Canis lupus familiaris: one gene and its partners. The protein of the gene in region 1 purifies or fractionates together with the protein of each later gene. This does not show direct contact. Links are inferred from orthologs where the notes say so. Each region holds a gene or a part of one and is shown in the gene's direction. Other genes may lie near its edges. The genes, in order: PSKH2, HSP90AB1 and CDC37.

What was found.
Region 2: the proteins of PSKH2 (region 1) and HSP90AB1 purify together in Homo sapiens (affinity purification with mass spectrometry; 3 studies listed by BioGRID and IntAct, counting the BioPlex papers as one, with this or other methods). This does not show direct contact. The link is inferred for Canis lupus familiaris from reciprocal best matches to the Homo sapiens genes PSKH2 and HSP90AB1.
Region 3: the proteins of PSKH2 (region 1) and CDC37 purify together in Homo sapiens (affinity purification with mass spectrometry; 3 studies listed by BioGRID and IntAct, counting the BioPlex papers as one, with this or other methods). This does not show direct contact. The link is inferred for Canis lupus familiaris from reciprocal best matches to the Homo sapiens genes PSKH2 and CDC37.

Annotation. Positions count from the first base shown.
Region 1 is NC_049250.1:32,956,226-32,963,059, reverse strand, and holds the start of PSKH2 (serine/threonine-protein kinase H2), read left to right. Parts: upstream 1-2,423; coding exon 2,424-2,602; intron 2,603-6,834.
Region 2 is NC_049233.1:12,843,455-12,850,524, forward strand, and holds the start of HSP90AB1 (heat shock protein HSP 90-beta), read left to right. Parts: upstream 1-2,993; 5' UTR 2,994-3,011; exon of another isoform or gene 3,012-3,022; intron 3,023-4,051; exon of another isoform or gene 4,052-4,215; intron 4,216-4,997; exon of another isoform or gene 4,998-5,323; intron 5,324-5,642; coding exon 5,643-5,789; intron 5,790-6,076; coding exon 6,077-6,283; intron 6,284-6,392; coding exon 6,393-6,552; intron 6,553-6,696; coding exon 6,697-6,830; intron 6,831-6,955; coding exon 6,956-7,070. UniProt on the Homo sapiens protein: Molecular chaperone that promotes the maturation, structural maintenance and proper regulation of specific target proteins involved for instance in cell cycle control and signal transduction. Undergoes a functional cycle linked to its ATPase activity.
Region 3 is NC_049241.1:51,127,719-51,134,124, forward strand, and holds part of CDC37 (hsp90 co-chaperone Cdc37), read left to right. Parts: intron 1-3,330; coding exon 3,331-3,612; intron 3,613-3,956; coding exon 3,957-4,065; intron 4,066-4,178; coding exon 4,179-4,294; intron 4,295-4,379; coding exon 4,380-4,502; intron 4,503-4,988; coding exon 4,989-5,171; intron 5,172-5,253; coding exon 5,254-5,325; intron 5,326-6,393; coding exon 6,394-6,406. UniProt on the Homo sapiens protein: Co-chaperone that binds to numerous kinases and promotes their interaction with the Hsp90 complex, resulting in stabilization and promotion of their activity. Inhibits HSP90AA1 ATPase activity.

The DNA of each region.
Region 1 (6,834 bases):
ATGCTTTCTCTCACTTTCTCTCAAGGGAATAAATAAAAATCTTAAAAAAAGAGAGAGAAGAATACACATAGAAGGCTGTAGTAGGGTGTTTCTCTGCATATAACTTTAGGTTAACAAACTTTCTCAAGGCTAACTTAGGCTCCAAGAGCATACTTACCCGTGATTTTAACATTTCAGCATTTCAAAACTTGGTACAAGCCTTAAAGTAGAAGTTTTGAATGCATTAAGTAGTTAATCTTTTTTTCCTCCGGGCACAAGATTTATTTTTGCCAATAATACTTCCAGTTACTAGTTGGTGCTTCCCAAAAGAGAACTAATCAATGGTTCTATTACGGTTTTCCTTCTTAAAGACTTGAAGATCAGTGACCCTATTGGCCAATTTTCAAAGAATGTGGTTCAGGCTTAGTGAGAGGCTCTTGACAAATCTCTTCCTGTTGTGCAGCCAGTTGTGGCCAGGACACAGAGCTTGCGCAGCCAGCATAGCACCCAGACCACAGAAGTGTTGCCTCATAGCGCCCCGGCGCCTTCCCTGCTGCCCAGGCTCAGCATTTAGAGTAAATGCTTCCTATTTGCTGGGCCACACATATCCAAACACCCCATACACTAGGGCTCTCTGGGTAACGAATACTGTTCTTCTTCTTCTTTTTTTTTCCCCCAATATTTTTTATTTATTTATTCATAGAGCCACAGAGAGAGAAAGGCAGAGACACAGGCAGAAGGAGGAGCAGGCTCCACGCAACAAGCCTGATGTGGGACTCGATCCTAGGTCTCCAGGATCACACCCCGGGCTGCAGGCGGTGCTAAACCGCAGCGCCACCGGGGCTGCCCCATGGAAAACTGTTCTTTAAACAGCACCTTGACATTTTACTTCTGTCCATTTGTTCCCTTTTTCTTTTCATTTCCATTTTGCTTTATGTTTTTTATTCTGCAACTTAGTTTGAAAGCTTGAGACCCCCGCAGCAGTTTAAAACCTGCTTAAAACCAATCTTCTCTCTTTGTTTCCCAGTACTTGGAGAATCCTGGGGGTTCTTTATCAAGAAAAATTCATTATTGGGTAGTTTAGCTCCCTTTGCAGGATAGGCTCATTTTTCCCTCAGCTACCCATAAGACATGTCTTAAATTTTCCTTCAAAATAGAGTTCTTCTGGGCAAATTCGCGGCTAACTGACTCATCAGAGATACTGTTAAGTCAAACTAAAAATTAAATGAAGTTATAAAGCAAATTGAAAGAGTGCCACATTGGAAGTTTGGGACTGGGCCTCCGGTTCCGCCTCTACAACTTGCTAGGGGTGCCTCATCTTGATTAGCTTGGTCTTGACTGAATCTCAGTTTCCACACATCTTTTACTTAACATTTAGCAATGTAAATTATATATAATCAATATGTTGATAACTAATCAATACATAAACTAACATTTATCAAAAAAGAAATATTTATCAGATATATACAATATGCACACCCATACATGTAGGGATAGTTATGAAAGCAAAGTTGAATTATCTAAAACATAAGATTATATATAGTATAATAACTATATTCATAATATAATTATATTAGATATTATGTGATAATATTACACAGTCTCCACATAATATAAAGAGAGTATATCATTTTCTCCTTCTTCTTCTTTTTATATATTTTGTTCTTGTAGTTGCATTACGTGTTGGGCTGGGTTCTAGACATCTGGTTTTCTCCCAGTTTTTCTCTTTGCAATGCCTCATCCAGAGGGAAGGCCCTTCCCGCTGTAGGAGAGTTAGTGCAGTACCAGAAAGAAACTAGTGTGTTTAATAAATGCAATAGGGCAGCCGGGGTGGCTCAGCTGTTTGGCACCGCCTTCTGCCCGGGGTGTGATCCTGGAGACCCGGGATCAAGTCCTATGTCGGGCTCCCTGCATGGGGCCTGCTTCTCTCTCTGCCTCTCTCTCTCTCTCTCTCTCTCTCTCTCTGTGTCTCTCATGAATAAATAAATAAAATCTTAAAAAAAAATAAATGCAATAGAGCAGCCTCTTATTACATACTTCAGATGTCACAAGCTCTTAGAGTTTAAACCATATACGCATTCAATGTTCCTGCCATCTGGATATGAGCTCGGCCCTGGAAACAGGAAGATCCTTGAGAGATGATGAGATCCTTCATTGACTCCCATCATTTTGGGGGCTCACATCTCCACTTTGCAGATGAGAAAACAGGCCCAGGCTTCGGCCTCTCCGCGGAGGTAAGGGGTCGCTGACCCCTCCAGGCGGCCTACTGGCAGCCAGACCTTTTGCAAGCTTGTTTTCAGAGGCCCGCGGTGGGGGTTCCTTCCAAGCGGGCCCGGGGGGTGGGGTGGGGCGGATGGAGGTGCCCCCGCCCCCCACCCCACCCCACCCCGGGGCTCGGGGTTAAGCGCAGCCCCGCCCGCCCGGCCCTTCCCAGCGCGACGGGCATGGGCTGCGGCGCCAGCACCAAGGTGACCCCGGGGGCGCCCGAGCGGGTCCCGGGCGGGCAGGAGCGCGAGGGCCGCGGCAGCTCCGGGGGCCCCGGGCCGGAGGCGGTGGCCGAGGCGGCTCGCAGGATGCAGGTGGCCCGCTTCCGCGCCCACTTCCACCCCCGCGTCCTGGCCAGGTAAGGTGCAGGGCCCCGCGGCGGGGCCCGGGCGGGGAAGGCCCCGAACCCTCCCCGAGGCCTGATTAAACCCCAGGCGGGCTGCTTTGGGATGCAAGGCCCCTGAGGGCCCTAAGTTCTTTCTCTAACCCCTTTGAGATGTAAAAGTCTTGCAGGAAGGTCTTTCCCGAGGACCGGAGCACCCTCCCCTTGAAATGCAATCAGGGGGCCGCTTCCTCCGGGTCTCTGCCCACCTTGGGCCAGCACCTGCCGGACCGGCTCCCTCCGCAGGCCCTTCCTCTAGGACTCCTCTTCTACTAGCTCGCCCAGGGCTGAAAACTGGCCTCTGGTCTCAACGGGGCTGAAGCCAGTCCCCTCCCCTGCTGCCATAGCTTGGACTCCAGTCCTGATAGTCTTGGGACAGAGTCTTCCTCATGGTTTTTAAACAAGTGTTGGGGCAGATTCTGTTTGACCCTCTGAACAGGGAGGGCAGAGGAGTGGGAGGATTCCAGACTGAAAGTAGAGGAGGGACAGGAGCAAGGAAAGAGGGAGAATCTGGGACTTCAGAGCTGGGGAAGGAAGGAGAGGGTCCCCCAAGCCCTACATGGCTGATGGGGGCCTTGCCACACATACGCTGGGGCTGGGTCCAGACAGGCCTGTTTGTGAAGGATCTTGACCACATTCTGGAAAAGGAGACCGTAATTCATAGAATAGAAATAAGGCTTTGAGTCAGCCAGACTTGAGATCCACTCCTGTGTCTTTTATCATATGTCTGGATGACCAGAGTGTTCCTTAGCCTCTCTCCTTCCTCAGTTTTGGTCTCAGTAAAATGGGAATAATCATAATATCTACCCCATATGAATGTTGTGAGGATAATTAAAGTGATACATTCAAATTGTGCTGCTTAGTTCATGAGTCAAGTCTTTTTTTTTTTTTTTAAGATTTTATTTATTTATTCATGAGAGACACAGAGAGAGAGGCAGAGAGACACAGGCAGAGGGAGAAGCAGGCTCCATGCAGGGAGCCTGATGTGGGACTCAATCCTGGGACCCCAGGATCATGCCCTGAGTCAAAGGCAGATGCTCAACCGCTGAGCCACCCAGGCGTCCCAAATCAAGTCTTTACTGAGCTAAGGTGCACATAAGACCTAGCTGACCCCTATGTACGAAATGAGCAGGGATGATAGGTTGGTTGGTCTGAAAAAATAACTTCCAGAGTGTATCATGGCAGACGTACAGAGGAAGAGAATCATGAAATCCTCTTCCACCCTGCAGGGCTTGGTGGGTGGCTCATCTGGCTTCTCAGGGACATTTCCAGCTCTTGAATTGTATGCTCACTTCCCCGCAGTGCTGTGAATAGAGTCTGTGCAGAGCCACTTCTTGGCCTACGGGGGAACTTCTAATACAAGGAGACCTTGTGGATTAGTCCAGTAGCTGCTAAGCATGGAGACAAAGTTGTCTGATCCAATTGTACCTAAATCAGAATGGACATGGGAGGGATCTTATCACTTCTGAATTGGTTAGATGGCATCTCTGGTCATCTGTAGCCAGAGAAATGAGGCTGCTGTGGTCTAGTCTTACCCACTCTCATAACCTCCATGTGCAGGGTAGTCCCAGTTCTTTAGAGTGTGCAGGGGTCATAGACGGGGAAGGTCACAACATTGTAAGGGCTCTAGCGACTGACTCAAGGCTTTTGACCTGATGAAGAGTTAACCCCCAGATGATAAAGTGACTTGTTCAAGTCAGTGGCAGACTTGAGTCTCAAATACTGTTGTCTTTCTTCTCCATTGTGACTCTATTTATAACTCTTGCAGAATAGAGATGATAGAATTTAAATCTGACTATATGCACTTTCTTCTTGGGAGTTCATTATAATTGCTTCTATCAAATAGGTTGTGATATTATTATTGTTTCCGTGTTTCATTTTTGTATGCATGTTCAAAAAATTCCCAGTCTGTAGCAGCTGAAGTTAGAGTCATGATTTCAATTCTGAGGATGATGTAAAATTGCACCACCTACAAAATTAACTTTGAGGGTCGGGCGGTGGGTAGGAGCAGAAGAGTGGAAGGGGAAGGAATGGAATGGCCTTGTAAATGCCTTCTCCAATGCTTGATTTGATCCTTAATGTTTTCGAAATATAAGTGATAATTTGGAAATAATATGTATTTAGTGAGTGATTCTTTCATTCAACATTTATTGCTGTACCCTCTGGGCCAGGTGCTGCAAAGATATAGCCACTCAAGTCATAAAAATGGTCACCATCCATGGCCATCAAGCAAGGCTGCAGTTACAGGAATTTGTTATGGGACATTTGTTGTTCAGTCTGAAACCATTTATTTCCAGTACTCTACATTTTGGCTTTAAGCCTACGGTTTCCTTCAATGCCAGATGACTAGCATTTTTTCAAGTATTTGGTATATGAGGGCCCCTTAGCAGCATTGAATAAAGCTCCTTTTATTTAAACAAAAGAGTGTAGTTCCTCAGAGATGGTAATGCAGCTGATAATGGATGATTAATTCCATGAACAAATGAATTTGCCTGCAGTTTTGAAGGCGGAGTGAAAAATTAGTACTTGCAAAGTGCTTTCATCCACATTAGAGGTAAATGTAAATTTTGGTCAGTCTGCAAAGCAGTAGCATTTGAAATGCCTGTGATTATCTTCAAAATCAACCTGAGTGTGCACGTGAATGAAAAAGCAAAGTTGGAAAGAGAAGAGGCAACAGAATCTATTTAAGATGAGTAAATTGCTGTCTGTTTTGATAAAGTAATTGGCCAGAAAATTAAAGGCATTGCATAGAACAAAGCTGTTTTCTGTAAGCCAGTGCAGCCAAATGCCATTTTTATTCAGGAAGCATAGAAATATAAGGAACAGAGAGGTAGGGGGGAAAACTACTGGAAGAATGAACTCAGCAAAAAAGAAGTAAGGCTATTTACAACACAGATTTATATTTGCATTTGAATCTCTGGTACTGAGTGTGCAGTTGAAAGCATTACCTTTCCCTGCACACTCCCCTCAGCACACTCCACTCCCTGGCCTCCTCTCCCAGGAGAAGTTTTAATAAAGGGGAAGAGCAGCAAATTATGATAAAAATAAGGCGACCTGGGTTCTCATCCTCACTCTAGAACTTAATCAATCTGCTAACCTGATCTTCAGAGTTCCTCATTTGTAAAATGAGGGGTTGGATTCGGTCATTCTCCAATATTCTTTCCAGCTGTAAAAATCATGATTCTAAGTGATGCACTTTCTCAACATCTCTCAGATAGGCAGTTAAACTTGATAAAATTCTTAAATTGGCGTAGACGTTTACACAGATAGTTCAAGTGTAAGATCACCAGCCTTTGAAATACTAGCTGAGAGATAATGACTTTACACATTAACGTGTATCCCCTGATAAAATTCGGTTTCTTGGGTAGAAAGTGTAAGTGTAGGGAATAAGCTGGGAGGAAACGGTGGCTCAAACACCACCCCCATCAGACGTGTTTATCAGTGATCATCTGTCAAGGTTGCTATCGTGGGCGCAGTAGGGCATGTGTGCTCACAATCAAGTAACCTGAAGAAGACTCTTTGTGCCCTGTCTTTTGATATGATTTCCTACTTCTTATGAGAGAGAGGCTATAAACAGGACTAGGTTTCTTTTCTGTACTCTTTCCACCTGGGTTGGTTGTTGTTTCAGAATAGTAAAAACAAGGGCTGGAGGGAGGAACGAAAATGGTAGAAGGTTGTCCCAAAGTTCAAGGGAATTTTGGTGAAACACACTTGAAGGGGTTGGATTTAAATCCTATCCATTTCAACTACTATGTACGTGGCCTTGGGAAATCACTTAACTTATGTTATTCTTCATTTCCTTATCTGAAAAAGGGGGATAGATAGTATTATATTAGCTGATAGGGACATTGTAAGAAGAATTTTTTTTAAAGATTTTATTTATTTATTCATGAGAGACACACACAGAGAGAGGCAGAGACACAGGTAGAGGGAGAAGCAGGCTCCATGCAGGGAACCCGATGTGGGACTTGATCCTGGGATTCCAGGATCACTCCCTGGGCTGAAGGCGGGCGCTAAACCACTGAGCCACCCAGGGATCCCAAGAATTTTTTTTAAAAAGTAAATTTTTAAAAAAAGTAATTAAAAAAATTTTTTTTACTAAGTAAATTTTTTAAAAAATATTTTTTTAAAAGTAAATTTTCTGGCATACAATAAGTATCTAATTAAATGGTAGCTGCTGTTATTAAGATGGTTGTCTTAATAGTTAT
Region 2 (7,070 bases), on another chromosome or scaffold:
CCCGGTGCATGGAGCCTGCTTCTCCCTCTGCCTGTGTCTCTGCCTCTCTCTCTATCTGTGTGTGACTATCATAAATAAATAAAAATTTATAAAAAATAAATTAAAATAAAATAAAAAGGCAAGAGAGTATGTATTCTAGACTGTGCAAGCTACATGGTCTCTGCCACACTAACAAGTCTGCCATTACAGCCTAAAAGCAGCCAAAGACAACATATAAACAAATAAGAGTAGTTATATTTCAGTACAGCTTTATTTAAAAAAATTTTTTTAAAGGATTTTATTTATTTATTCATGAGAGACAGAGAGAGAGAGAGAGGCAGAGACACAGGCAGAGGGAGAAGCAGGCTCCATGCAGGGAGCCCAACGTGGGACTCAATCCTGGGTCTCCAGGATCAGGCCTTGGGGGCGCTAAGCCGCTGAGCCTCCCGGACTGCCCTCAGTAAAGCTTTATGAGCATAAATTCAAAAAGTTTTTTTTTAAGATTTTATTTATTTATTCATAGAGACAGAGAGAGAGAGAGAGAGAGAGAGAGACAGAGACACAGGCAGAGGGAGAAGCAGGCTCCATGCAGGGAGCCCGACGTGGGACTCGATCCCGGGTCTCCAGGATCACGCCCCAGGCTGCATGTGGCGCTAAACTGCTGCGCCACTTGGGCTGCCCTCAAAAAGTTTTTTTTGAAGATTTTACTTACTCATTTGACAAAGAGAGAGAGCACACAAAAGCACATAAGCAGGGGGAGTGGCAGGAGGAGAGACTGGGGGGGTGGGGGTAACAGGTTCCCCACTGAGCAGAGAGCCCAACATGGGGCTAGATCCCAGGACCCCTGGGGTCGCGACCAGAGTGGAAGGCTGATGACCAACCAACTGAGCCACCCAGGTGTCCTCACAAATTCAAATTTCGTGTACTTTTCACATGCTAAAATATTATCTTTCTTTTGACTTGTTCAACAATTTAAAAAATGTATAAAACACTCTTCCCCATGAGCCTTATAAAAACAAGCGACAGACCCACCAGCTGCAGGCCAGTTTGTCAGTTCTTGCTTCATCTGGCTACCCTCCAACAACAGAAGGTTGGGCTGGGTCTTTGAGACCTGGTCAGGAACAGAGTATCTTGGGAACAGTAAGCATTGCATGTGCCGCAGGGAATAGGATTCTGGAGCTCTAGGAGGTTTTTTTTTTTTTTTTTTAATTTTTTAAAATTTATTTATGATAGGTACACAGTGAGAGAGAGAGAGAGGCAGAGACGCAGGCAGAGGGAGAAGCAGGCTCCATGCACCAGGAACCCGACGTGGGATTCGATCCCAGGTCTCCAGGATCGCGCCCTGGGCCAAAGGCAGGCACTAAACTGCTGCGCCACCCAGGGATCCCTTTCTAGGAGGTTTTAAGCTGGTTTTAATAGCCTTCAGTGGCTTCCCTCACTATAAGTTCAGGTCAAGATGTCTTAGCACAGCATTCATGGCCCTCTGTGAACTCTCCCTGCAGGGCCACTTTCAATGCCTCTGCCTCTCTTGGGGCTCCCAGGCTATGGTCCTTCTGTCAGGGCTGTGCCATTCCATGCTTCTCCCTCTTCTGGGACATATACCTGTGCCAGGGACTGGCCAGCCTTGGCCCTAAGCCTGTCCCCTGCCTCAGGCTGAGCTGGGAGTCTGATATTTCTCCTGTTGCTATGGTTCACACTTGGCCTGCTGCAGCCCTCTAGGGGCTGAAACCTCCATCTTGTTTCTGCAATTCTGCATCCCAGGAACTCACTGTGGGGGGCTTAAGTGAGTGTCAGCGAGTGGGAGAGCCTTCCAGAAAAGACAGAATTTCTGTGCTAGTGCGTGATTTGAGATCTTCCCATTAGAAGACCCCGGGAGTCTCTGGTCTTAATACTGATCCACAGGAGTGATTTCTGCTGCTTTGGACTTGGGTCCTGGGAAGGGAGACAGCATTGCTACTCCATTCCTGGAGCAAGGAGCGAGGGTTGGTGCAACAGAGGCTCTGAGCTGACTGATCTCACTGAAGCCTTGCTTTCCCAGTGAGAACGGGAGACTCACTTTTACCTCTTCACAGTATTGTGAAATAGTTTGAATGCTCTTTGTGAACTAGGGAGGTTTTTAATTTTCTAGGCCCCTTCTGCCCAGAAAGAGAGAGGGTATGTTGAGGGATGACACACTTCGTTTGAGATCTTGATCAGGAACAGAGAATCCTGGAGGATTCCTGGCAACAGCACCCACAGCTCTTCCCAAACACATTAACTTCCCCAAGTCACAGATTTCTCACACACCATTAAGGAGAATAGGGGGCAGCCCGGGTGGCTCAGTGGTTTTAGCGCCGCCTTTGGCCCAGGGCATGATCCTGGGGACCCTGGATCGAGTCCCACGTCTGGCTCCCTGCATGGAGCTGCTTCTCCCTCTGCCTGTCTCTGCCTCTCTGTGTCTTCATGAGTAAATAAAAATCTTTAAAACAGGTGTGTGTGTGGGGTTGAATAAAAGAGTAAGGAGAAATATAGGAGTGGTGGCTGTGGCTGGGTGATGAGGTCTGGTGCTTGGGGAAAAGATAAGGAATTGGAAGGTCTGTTCTTCGGAATTTAACATATGAATAAGGAAATACAAAGGAAGGAAGAAGGCTGAGGAAGGACGGCGGGCGGTGGTGCCGGAGGCAGCCCCTCCCCAGGATTCCAGGGAACGACCCTGTGGGCCAGGGAGAAGTGGATGGACCCCTACAAGGTCACAGAGCAGCAAGAGGCCATTCTCTTCCGGAGGGGCCGTGGGTCCGACGGCATTCCTAGGGGAGGCCTTAGGTAGACAAGGACGGCTTCCCCTCTGGAAGGCGCGCGAAAGGGGCTGAGCCACGGCGTCCCACAGCTCTCCCGGCCGACTAACGGCTCGGGAGCGCCCGCGCCGCAGCTGGAGGGGAACGACTTCTGGCAGCCTGCAAGGGGGCCCGCTCCTCCTCCCGTCTGCCGGCCGCAGGAGCGAAGAGGGCCCAAACTGAAACCAGATGGGGAAACAGCTCCGTGTGCTCACGCAGGGAAGACGCAGGTCTCCGGGTCCCACTCACTTGGGCGGATGCACAAGTAGGGGAGGGTCCTCCTCCCCGCCCCCCGCGATGGCGAATGCGTCCCCGGGTCTCTGCGCCCCGAAGGCGGCGCCAGCACCACCGCCCCAACAGCCCCAGGCCGTGGGATCGATGGCGGGGGTGGGGGGGTCAATCTTTCCCTTTATGCTCCATCCCACTCCCGAGGGAGCGCTGGGCTCGCCGAACCGGCAGGTGGGAGATGAGGGTCCCCCCCGCGGGCTCCCAGGTTAATAGGGGAACAGCCCGCCTCCTCCCCGGGGACCGCGGCGGCTGCGGACACCCGGCCCAGGCCGCAGAGGGCGGGGCGGCGCCTGCACGGAGGGGGCGGGGCGGGGGCGGGGCCGCCAAGGCGGGTCTGGAAACTGCTGGAAGTAATCGCAGTACCACCATTGCCGCTCCTTCCGCCGGACGCGGGCAAAGAGTCCCCCTGCCGGTGCCGGCCAGGGCCCTTCCCCCAGCCGGAGCCACACCCCGCCGCACAGCCGCGGCTTTCGCCCACTGCCCCTGGGAGGGCCGGGGCGCAAGGCCTCCCTGAGGTTAGACCCCGGATTCCGCACCGTCCCTAAGGAAAACTGCTTCCCCTTCTCGGGTTGTGGGGGTCTGGAGGGCAGATTGTAGCAAGAGTCGAACCCGGGAGCCGAGGTCGGAGCGGTTGGCCGCTTCTATCCCCGCCCTCCACCTTTATAGGTGTTCCTCCAGGCCAGGACTCGAGTGGGGAGGCGCCTGCCTCATGGTTTATAGGAAGGCCAGTGGCACCCGCACCCCTAGATCCCCCACTTATTTCATATGAAATAAGACGTTCCCAGTCTTTAGTTCTCGGAGGGAGCTCATGCCTTGCAAAAGCAGAGATGTACTTGCGTACTCTGAAGGCGGAGACCGAGACCGGCGGCCCCCCCCCCCCCGCCCGCCCCATTTTGGGCCATGACGTCAAGGTGGGCGGGCAGCGGCAGGTGCGGGGCTGAGCTGCACCCTCCTTTAAGGCGGAGGGATCCGGGGGCCGGCAGCTGGTCTGTGCTCCGCCGTATATAGAGCGGCCGGGGGCGCACAGCCGCTCTCTTGAGTCACCCCCGCGCAGCCTTGGTTCGGCGTCGTAGCCGGACGCAGCCCCTGCCCGCCGTGGTCTGTAGTGCTTGCAGCTCTTCCCCTTTAAGGTAAAGTCGTAGCTATTTCCAGGTTTTCCTGCCTGGAGTGCTCTCTTGAGTTGCTCTCGTTCCTCGTTTCCTTTCTAAAGCCTGGGTTTCGTGGAGTGGGAGCGGCCTGTGGGATGGGACGACTCCTAACTGCTTTCGGGGGTGGCCGGGAGGGGGACCGCGAGCTAGACTTGCTTTCTCACCCGTGCCTGGTGGCGGGCGTCCCCGCGGGCGGCGCCTGGCGCTGGGGGAGGTGGGCCGCGGCGCGGGCTGGGGGTGGTGGGCAGCTGCACGTGGTGTCCGCGCCGGCCGGGACGCTGCCATGTTTGCCCCTCCACTTCCGGACGCGGCTACGGGGCGCCGGAGGGTCCCCGCGCGTTGTGGGTGTGCGCGCTGGACGTGACTCAGCACGGCCCGGGGCTGGCCTGCCCGTGCCGCCTGTGCCATCTGTCCCCTGGGACGCGTTTTGCAAGGGTTTTCGTTTTTTTTTTTTTCTGTGACCTTCGGCGAGCAACGTTTGACGGCGGTCTCTGGCCCATAGTGCTTCCTCTCCTTCCAGATCTTTCCTGCAGTGTCGGTGTGGGGGAGGGGAGTGGAGGGGGCAAGCTCGGGAAGATTCATGGGCCCTTTCCTCCCCCGCCTCTCCGAAGAGCTGAGATTGTTCTGGAAGCTTCTGGAACCCGGCGCCCCGCCCTGGTGCCCGGATGCTGGGGCGAAGGGAGGCTGCGCGGTGGCGCCCCCTCCTCGCGTGGCCCTGGCCGACGCACGTCCGGCAGTGACGAGGGTCTGCCCAGCGGACGACGGCCACCATCTTGGTTATGTTTGGTTTGGTCCCACGCTGTAGTCACGTGTGCTGGGGTCGCGATGGAGCTTCTGCCTTAGCGGTTCTTTGTCTCAGCCGCTTGGGCGGGTATCCACCGGCCCCGGGGGTAGTCGGCCCCTGCGCTCCAGGGTGCTTGATGTGGGAGACCCCCAGCGGGAGAGCCAATTGCGAATTCCTTTTAACCCGAAATTGGTCGCCTCGGGCTACCGTTTGTCCTACCAAAAGAAATAGAGCCGTATTCAGTGCTTTTCTCTTGAAAATTATCTGGAGTCCTTTTCGTGTTCCTGGATCCGATCTGCATTTTCAACGAGGTACTCGGTGATGCGGAGTCTGTTGGGTCCCATGGACCACTTAGAGTACTTAGGCTCCAAGGTGTTTTTCCAAAACGCTTTTGACGTCGTGTGTTGTGTTAGAGAAGCTTTTAAAAATTCTTCCTGAATTGGATTTCCACTAAGGGTATAGGCTGAAATCATTGAGGGAAAAGTTTTCTAGTTTTTCAGGAATATGTCTACTATCCAGCCCAAAGCAATTTCAACTAAAAGCTGAGTCTTCGTTGTGAGTAGGGTGAAACGGAGTGTTACCTATGGGGCCACGGTGTTCTTTTGTAATTCTTGACTGTTCTTATTTTAGATGCCTGAGGAAGTGCACCATGGAGAGGAGGAGGTGGAGACTTTTGCCTTCCAGGCAGAAATTGCCCAGCTCATGTCCCTCATCATCAATACCTTCTATTCTAACAAGGAAATTTTTCTTCGAGAGTTGATCAGTAATGCTTCTGATGTGAGTGCTTTGGGCACTTTTGTTTATGGTTTTTGTTTTTAGCATTCAGGAAAACGGAAAAGGGTTTGGGATTTTACGGGGCTGCTGTTGGAGGGGGCCTAAACCTGCTCTAAAATTTTTTTGGTTTATAGGAATGAGGGAATATGGTAACTCTTAACTGCTGTGGTTCTTAAATCTCAAGTTGGGGAAATCAGAACTGGTGCTACTTGGAAGTTCAAAGGTTTTCTTCTGGATGAAGAGGTGAGCTTTAGGAAGTGGAAATGTAAAGTTGAAATTTGTATTTTTAGGCCTTGGACAAGATTCGCTATGAAAGCCTGACAGACCCTTCCAAGTTGGACAGTGGTAAAGAGCTGAAAATTGACATCATCCCGAACCCCCAGGAACGCACCCTGACTCTGGTGGACACAGGCATTGGTATGACCAAAGCTGATCTCATAAATAACTTGGGAACCATTGCCAAGTCTGGCACTAAAGCATTCATGGAGGCCCTTCAGGTATGTACTGTTTCACCTAGACAGGCACCATTCATTTTTGTGGATGTTCTTTGGTGTGTTTTTTGTTTGTTTATTTTAACTTGCGTTTGACTTTAAAACTTTCTGGTAGGCTGGTGCAGACATCTCCATGATTGGACAGTTTGGTGTTGGCTTTTATTCTGCTTATCTGGTGGCAGAGAAAGTGGTTGTTATCACAAAGCACAATGATGATGAGCAGTATGCGTGGGAGTCTTCTGCTGGGGGCTCTTTCACTGTACGTGCAGACCATGGTAAGTTGAGGTTCTTGTTTGGGTTAGAATTCTGGGGACGTCTATAATCTAGATCTTACTAAGTATGTTGTCTGTAGTTGGTTTTTTGTTATAATTCTGCTTTTAGTTTTGTGTCCTTATGTTGTCTTGACTGATGTTTCCTAGGTGAGCCCATTGGCCGGGGTACCAAAGTGATCCTCCATCTTAAAGAAGACCAAACCGAATATTTAGAGGAGAGACGTGTCAAAGAAGTGGTGAAGAAGCACTCCCAGTTCATAGGTTATCCCATCACTCTTTATGTGAGTATGTACTGGTAATCATCACGTGTATGATGTCTGCCGTTCTGGAGGATTGCATGGTCCCCAATTTTGGGTGTTCTGTATTCTGGAACTTTTTTTTTTCTTTTTTTTTTTTGGTACTTCAGTTGGAGAAGGAACGAGAGAAGGAAATTAGTGATGATGAGGCAGAGGAGGAGAAAGGGGAGAAAGAGGAAGAAGATAAAGATGATGAGGAAAAACCCAAGATTGAAGATGTGGGTT
Region 3 (6,406 bases), on another chromosome or scaffold:
TTGGGTTCTAATCCCAGCCCTACCACTTACTGCTTTACTTTTCCTGCCCCTAGAGACCATCCGAAGAATGAAATGAGATTAGGCCTGACAAGAACTTGGCTCCGGGCCTGGGAGGGAGTAAGCATATAGGAGGGGGAGGCAAGATTAGGAAAAAGGTAGCCTGCTGCACTTCTGAGCACAGGCCTGCACAACTGGGTTCCAGTCCTGGCTCCTGAATCACTGACTTACTGCATGACCTCCAGCAAGTTGTTTGATCTCTTTGTGCCTTGGTTTCCCCAGTTGGGAATATTAAGGGTATCCACCCGATAGGGTTGTTATGAGAGGTTACTCTATTGAGTACGTGTGATGTCCTTAAGGATAGCACGTGGCACGTGATAAGCTCTCTGTAAACTTTAGCAGTTACCGTCATTGTTATTGTTTAGGTAATCCGTGCTCCGGGAAAGAAAGATTCCAGAGGTGCCAGAAAGAGACAAGGGAGTGTCCCAGCCCCACCTCCCTTGTCCAGATACAGCTACTGTTAAACTAGTTTCTTGGGACTCCTTTCATCAAACTATGGCGCTGTGATTCTGTGAGCGTCAGGTTCTTTGTAAGGCTGGAAGGTGGTGACACCTGCAGGTCCCAGCTTCCTGCTGTGGCCCCTGTCACACCCAGGCTGCCACAGCCCCTCCCAGAGGTGGAAAGCCCGTGCTGGGCAGGCTGCCGCCCCCACCAGCTCCAGGAGGCCTTTATTTAGCTCCAGTCTCCCTGGCGGCCACTCAGAGGACATCGAGAAGAGCTCAGTGGCCACCCAGCAGAAGCCAGCAGGGTGGTAGGCTCCTGCTGCCACCCGAGGCCAGCTAGAATGCCAACCCCAGAGAGCCCCGCAGCAGGAAGCCCCCAGGGCACCCCAGGCCCCAGAGGGGAAAATGGCAGAGCCCCAGGCCTCTCTCTTACTCTTCCAGGAGGCAAGGGCCCTTTCGGCCTTGACACAGCTGGGGAAAGTGAGACTCTGGACTGTCAGCAGTCCTGTGGGGCTAAGTTAGAGAAGGCTCAAGGCTTCCCCATTCTCACCTACTGCGTGCCTGACTCTGCTCAAACTTGGAGATACAGCCTCAGAGAAGGCCCAGAAGTGAGTGAGTGAACCACTCTGGGGCCAGTGGCCAGGATGGTGACGCTAACAGCGGAATGTGTTCATTACGTAGGACTGCGTGCAGTTTCCTGGGAGTAACTCCTTTGATGCTGCGTTTTTCCCAAAGAGGAACTAACTCCAAGGCTAGAAGTGTTTAAGTGTCTTAGCCAAGGTCACGTCACCAGTACGCGGTGGAGCTGGGTGATGTGACAGTGCGGTAACAACCACTCCCAGGTATTGAGCATGTGCTCTGGGTTGGAAATTGATGGAAACACTCGAAGTATGCTTTCTTGTTTGAGCCCCAGAATGGTCAAGAGAGAGAGAGAGATTGTCCCCTTGGATAGTAATGGCAGTCGCCACCACGGGAATGGTGCTTGCCGAGCATCCAGCATGGCTCTGGACTGTCTACTTTGACTTAAATCTCCTTTGCTTCTCCTGGTGCCGCTCGGTGAGGTCGGTACTGTTGTCTGCCTTTGACAGATGAGGAAACGGAGGTCCCTAGAGGTCAGGGGATTGACCCAAGGACCCCAGCCTATACTCAGTAGCCACGGCTTATGACTCCACATCTGGGGCCCTGAGGCTGTTCTCCAGTGTCTTATCATGCTGTCTGATGATCTTAAAGGGGGCTTTGAGGCACAGTGATGGGGAATGGGGGGCCCTTGGGGAAGGCTCTGTAGAAGCTGAGACCTGGGGCCAAAGGACATGGAGTGAGAGGAAGAGAGTTCCAGGTAGAAGGAGCAGCCTTTGCAGAGTCCAAGAGTCAAGAGCGAGCTGGTGCATTTGGGATCTGCCTGCAACCTAGAATTGGGAAAGGAGAATGGGACCCTGGCCCCCTGGGGCCTTGGTGCCACTTGGGCAGCTTGGAGTAAGGCTTTGGGATCCCATCTGAGCGTAGACGCTCCAGGTTGGGGTGGCAAGAAGGGCTGCAGACAGATGTGCGAATTTCCAAGACTGGCAGTCTAGCTTGGAACAGCTGTGGAAGGTGGTGGCACCTCTCAGGGCTCAGTCAGGGGCTTTGGATTGAGCAGGCACTGCTGAGAGCTGGGGGAGATGATGGAGCAAAGCAAGGGTGGAGGACAGACAGGGCCATGTCATGTTGTAGAGAGTCTTGTGGGGACCGGAGCGAGAGGGGGAACGAGGGCACCATCTGAACTTGGGGTGCAACAGCAGAGGAGGTCTGGGGAGCAACAGCTGGGGTAGGGGGGACAGGAGGCCGGTGGGCACCGAGCTAAGGCTCAGGGTGGGTGTGCTGGCCCGGAGACATAGCTGATGGGGCCTTGGGCAGCCATCCAGGAGTAGTTCTCTGGGTGGACCAAATTGGAGAGACTTCTAGAAGCGAAAGCTGTCAGGACTGGGTAGGAAAGAGGGAGGAAAGGACAGGACCAGTGAACAGGCCTCAGTGGGGGGCATCGGAGGTTGTTGGGCAAGGGAGGGCACCTGAGTGTCACTGAGGGCGGCTCCGGGGAGGACGAGTGGCCTGAGACCCCCATCCAGTATTTCCTTACTTTATTCATCCAACAAGTGTCTCCTGAGCCTTGACTGTGCACTTGTGTGTGAGACACAAGTGAGCAGATCCCCCATCTCTAGGGACCCCACTCCTCAGAGAGGGACAGTGTTGAGAACAGTAAATAATTGTCACCAGGTTGCCACCAGATGCTAGCAGGTAATGAGTGCTGAGGAGGAAGGTGAAACAGGGCACAAGTAAGGGGAGGTTGCCATCTTCATTCAGCAGGGTGGTCAGGGAAGGGCCTCATCTGTAAAGTGATGTTTGAGCCAAGATGGCAAGGATGTGAGGGAGTAAGCTGGTTTGGGTGCCAGTGGGGGGAGTCTGGAGAGAGAACTTTCCAGGCTGGGGCAACAGCTAGTGCAAAGGCCCTGAGTTTAGAAGTGGGTTCAAGAAAAGACAAAGCAGCTACTGTGACTGGAGGGAGGGGGCAGATTGTGCAGGGCCTTGTAGGTCATAGATAGGACTTGGTTTTCTGCTCTGAGTGACATGGATGCCACAGAGCCTTCTGAGCAGGGTTGGGGGTGGACACACACAAAGTAAGGTGTGTGCAGGTATCCTGGTGGGATGGAAGCTGCCCCCCCAGGGGGGCACAGAGGGTGGTGCACACATTCCCTGAGGCCATCCCAGGTGCAGGGGGTGGGAGCCCTGGGTGGGGCAGGGCCGAGGTCAAGGGACCAGCCTTTCCCCGGAGTGCAGGGCTTGTGTCTGCCCGCAGGCCCGGGTGGAGCGCATGGAGCAGTTCCAGAAGGAGAAGGAGGAGCTGGACAGGGGCTGCCGCGAGTGCAGGCGCAAGGTGGCTGAGTGCCAGCGGAAGCTGAAGGAGCTGGAGGTGGCCGAGGGCGAGGGCAGCAAGGTGGAGCTGGAACGGCTGCAGGCCGAGGCTCAGCAGCTGCGCAAGGAGGAGCGGAGCTGGGAGCAGAAGCTGGAGGAGATGCGCAAGAAGGAGAAGAGCATGCCCTGGAACGTGGACACGCTCAGCAAGGACGGTTTCAGCAAGGTGGGAGGGGGCCAGCAGGGTTCCCCCCATGCAGGGGCTGGTGGGGTAGGTGGGGGTAAGGCCTGGACAGCTCAAGGGAGGGACGCCCTGGCATGGAGAGGGTGGAGGGACAGGTGTGGGGCTGGGTGGATGAAGCACCCCACTGGTACCCCCCTCTGATCTGCCCGAAGGCCCTAGTTCGAGGCCACACCTGCCACACCCACGCTCCCGCCACACTGATGCTCATGGCGCCGTCACCACCTCCGCCGTGGAAGGGATGGGCGCTGCGGCCTCGGCCCACCCGGCCGTGCTGGAGGCGCTCTGCGGCCTCGCCCCAGCCCACTCCCCCTCTCGCCCCATCACAGAGCATGGTCAATACCAAACCAGAGCAGGCGGAGGAGGAGTCGGAGGAGGTGAGGGAGCAGAAACACAAAACCTTCGTGGAGAAGTACGAGAAACAGATCAAGCACTTTGGTGAGTTGGGCCGTTGGAGGGGGCCGGCAGGCTAAGGTTAGGAGGTTACACAGGACAGGGGCTGGTCCTCTGCCTCTGGGGCCCCTCAGCACCTTGCCAACACCTTCTCGTAGGCATGCTCCGCCGCTGGGATGACAGCCAGAAGTACCTATCAGACAATGTCCACCTGGTGTGCGAGGAGACAGCCAACTACCTGGTCATCTGGTGCATTGACCTAGAGGTGGAGGAGGTGAGTGGAGTCTACCCCGGGACTAGGGGAAAGCCCTGCCCTGAGGCCACCACTTGGTGACATCCTACCTCTTCTCCCTTGGCAGAAATGTGCACTCATGGAGCAAGTGGCCCACCAGACCATTGTCATGCAGTTCATCCTGGAGCTGGCTAAGAGCCTGAAGGTGGATCCCCGTGCCTGCTTCCGGCAGTTCTTCACTAAGATCAAGGTAGTGTCCCCGAGGAGCCAGGGTCGGGTGGGGTGTGGGCCTCTTCAAGGCACCAGCCTCCATCTACAGGGGGTATATACAAAGGTCCATTCAGACTTGGGGCCGTGGGATCAGAACCTGTTCGATCAGGGGAGGCTGGAGACATGGAGGGGCCAGTAGTCAGCCCCCGGTTTGAAAGACGGGGTGTGTGGACAGTCCCGACGTGGGGTGAGGGACAGAGTCAAGGATGCCTTAGGGTTCCCTCACCTGAGCACCTGGAAGCACAGAGCTGCCCATGATGAGGCCTGGGAGGCTGAGGGCAGGGCAGCCTGCGGGGAGCGATCAGAGCTTGGGTGAAGACATAGGTGAGGTGAGCATTCACAGGTCTGTGACTCAAGGCAGGCACGTGGTCATTAGCACGTCAGCAGTAAAACCAGCCTTCGGGGGCGGGCCCATGGGAGAGACGGACCGAGCCTCTGAAGAGATCTCGGCCCTCCAACCCTGCAGACAGCTGACCGCCAGTACATGGAGGGCTTCAACGATGAACTCGAGGCCTTCAAGGAGCGCGTACGGGGCCGCGCCAAGCTGCGCATCGAGAAGGCCATGAAGGAGTACGAGGAGGAGGAGCGCAAGAAGCGGCTGGGTCCTGGTGGCCTGGACCCTGTTGAAGTCTATGAGTCTCTACCTGAGGTGTGGCTCCCCGGCCCTGGGTGGGCAGCAGGCAGGACCCCCAGGAAATGAGGCCCTGACCCCGGCCCATCTGTACCCGCAGGAACTCCAGAAATGCTTTGACGTGAAGGATGTGCAGATGCTCCAAGATGCCATCAGCAAGATGGACCCTACCGTGAGTAACCACTCCCCAGGCCCACCCACCAGCCCAGCTGAGTGGCGGGGGCAAATGATATGTCCCCTGCCCCCCCTCCAGCCCTGCTCCCCACATCGCTGGTAGAAGTGTCCCTTGTGGGCTTCACGGAGCAATAAGGGAGGTCATGTCAACCGTGTGGCCAGCACATGAGCCAGCCTATGGAGGATCTACCGTGTGATTACATCCAGCAGTGAACTTGGAACTTTGAGCATATCCCCTGCCACTGTCACTGCCCCCGTGGGCCATTTATGAGCATAATGGGCACACCAGGTTGATCCTACCTTTGTCCAAGGAAAGAGTGCTCCTCCCCAGCCTTGGTTACCCAGTTTTCTCTGGATACTAACTTGGAAAATCTGGGAGTGAGGGGGTGCTAAGCACATGGTAAATGTCAGCTGTTGTTTGTATGTGTGCATGTATTTTAAAGTAAGCCTCTACCCAGTGTGGGCCTTGAACTCATGACCCCGAGATCAAAAGTCACATGCTCTACTGATTGAGCCAGCCAGGTGGCCCTAGCTGTTGTGACTAGGAACAGCAAGGGTGCTGGTAGATGGGACTTTGTGTCTTTACAGACCTTGGTTCGCCCCCATTCCTGCTGTTTGGCTCACTGGTCGGCCACACTAGTTTCCTCATCTGTGAAACAAGTCTAGTCACAGGACCTGGCCTTGGATTTCTAGAAGCTTCCATGAGAATGGATATCTAGACCTAGAGTCTTCACACTATGGTTTATAAGCTCACTCCTGTGTTTATCAGTTTTATTGGCATGCAGCTTTTATTCTGGGTGTACACTATTTAAATTTGAGTTCAAGTTAAGTAAAATGTGAAGTTCTGTTCATCACTTGAACTAACCACATTTGAAGTGCTTGGCAGCCACGCATGGCTGGTGGCTACCATGTTAGACACTGCAGATTACAGACAATTCCCATGATTGCAGAGTCCTTTGGACAGCTCTGATCTAGAATGAGTAGTAAGCAAGGTTAAGGACGTGGTTTAAGGACGCGCCACCAGGGGTGGCAGTCCTGGCCTCACTCGCCACCCTTCTCCCCACAGGATGCGAAGTACC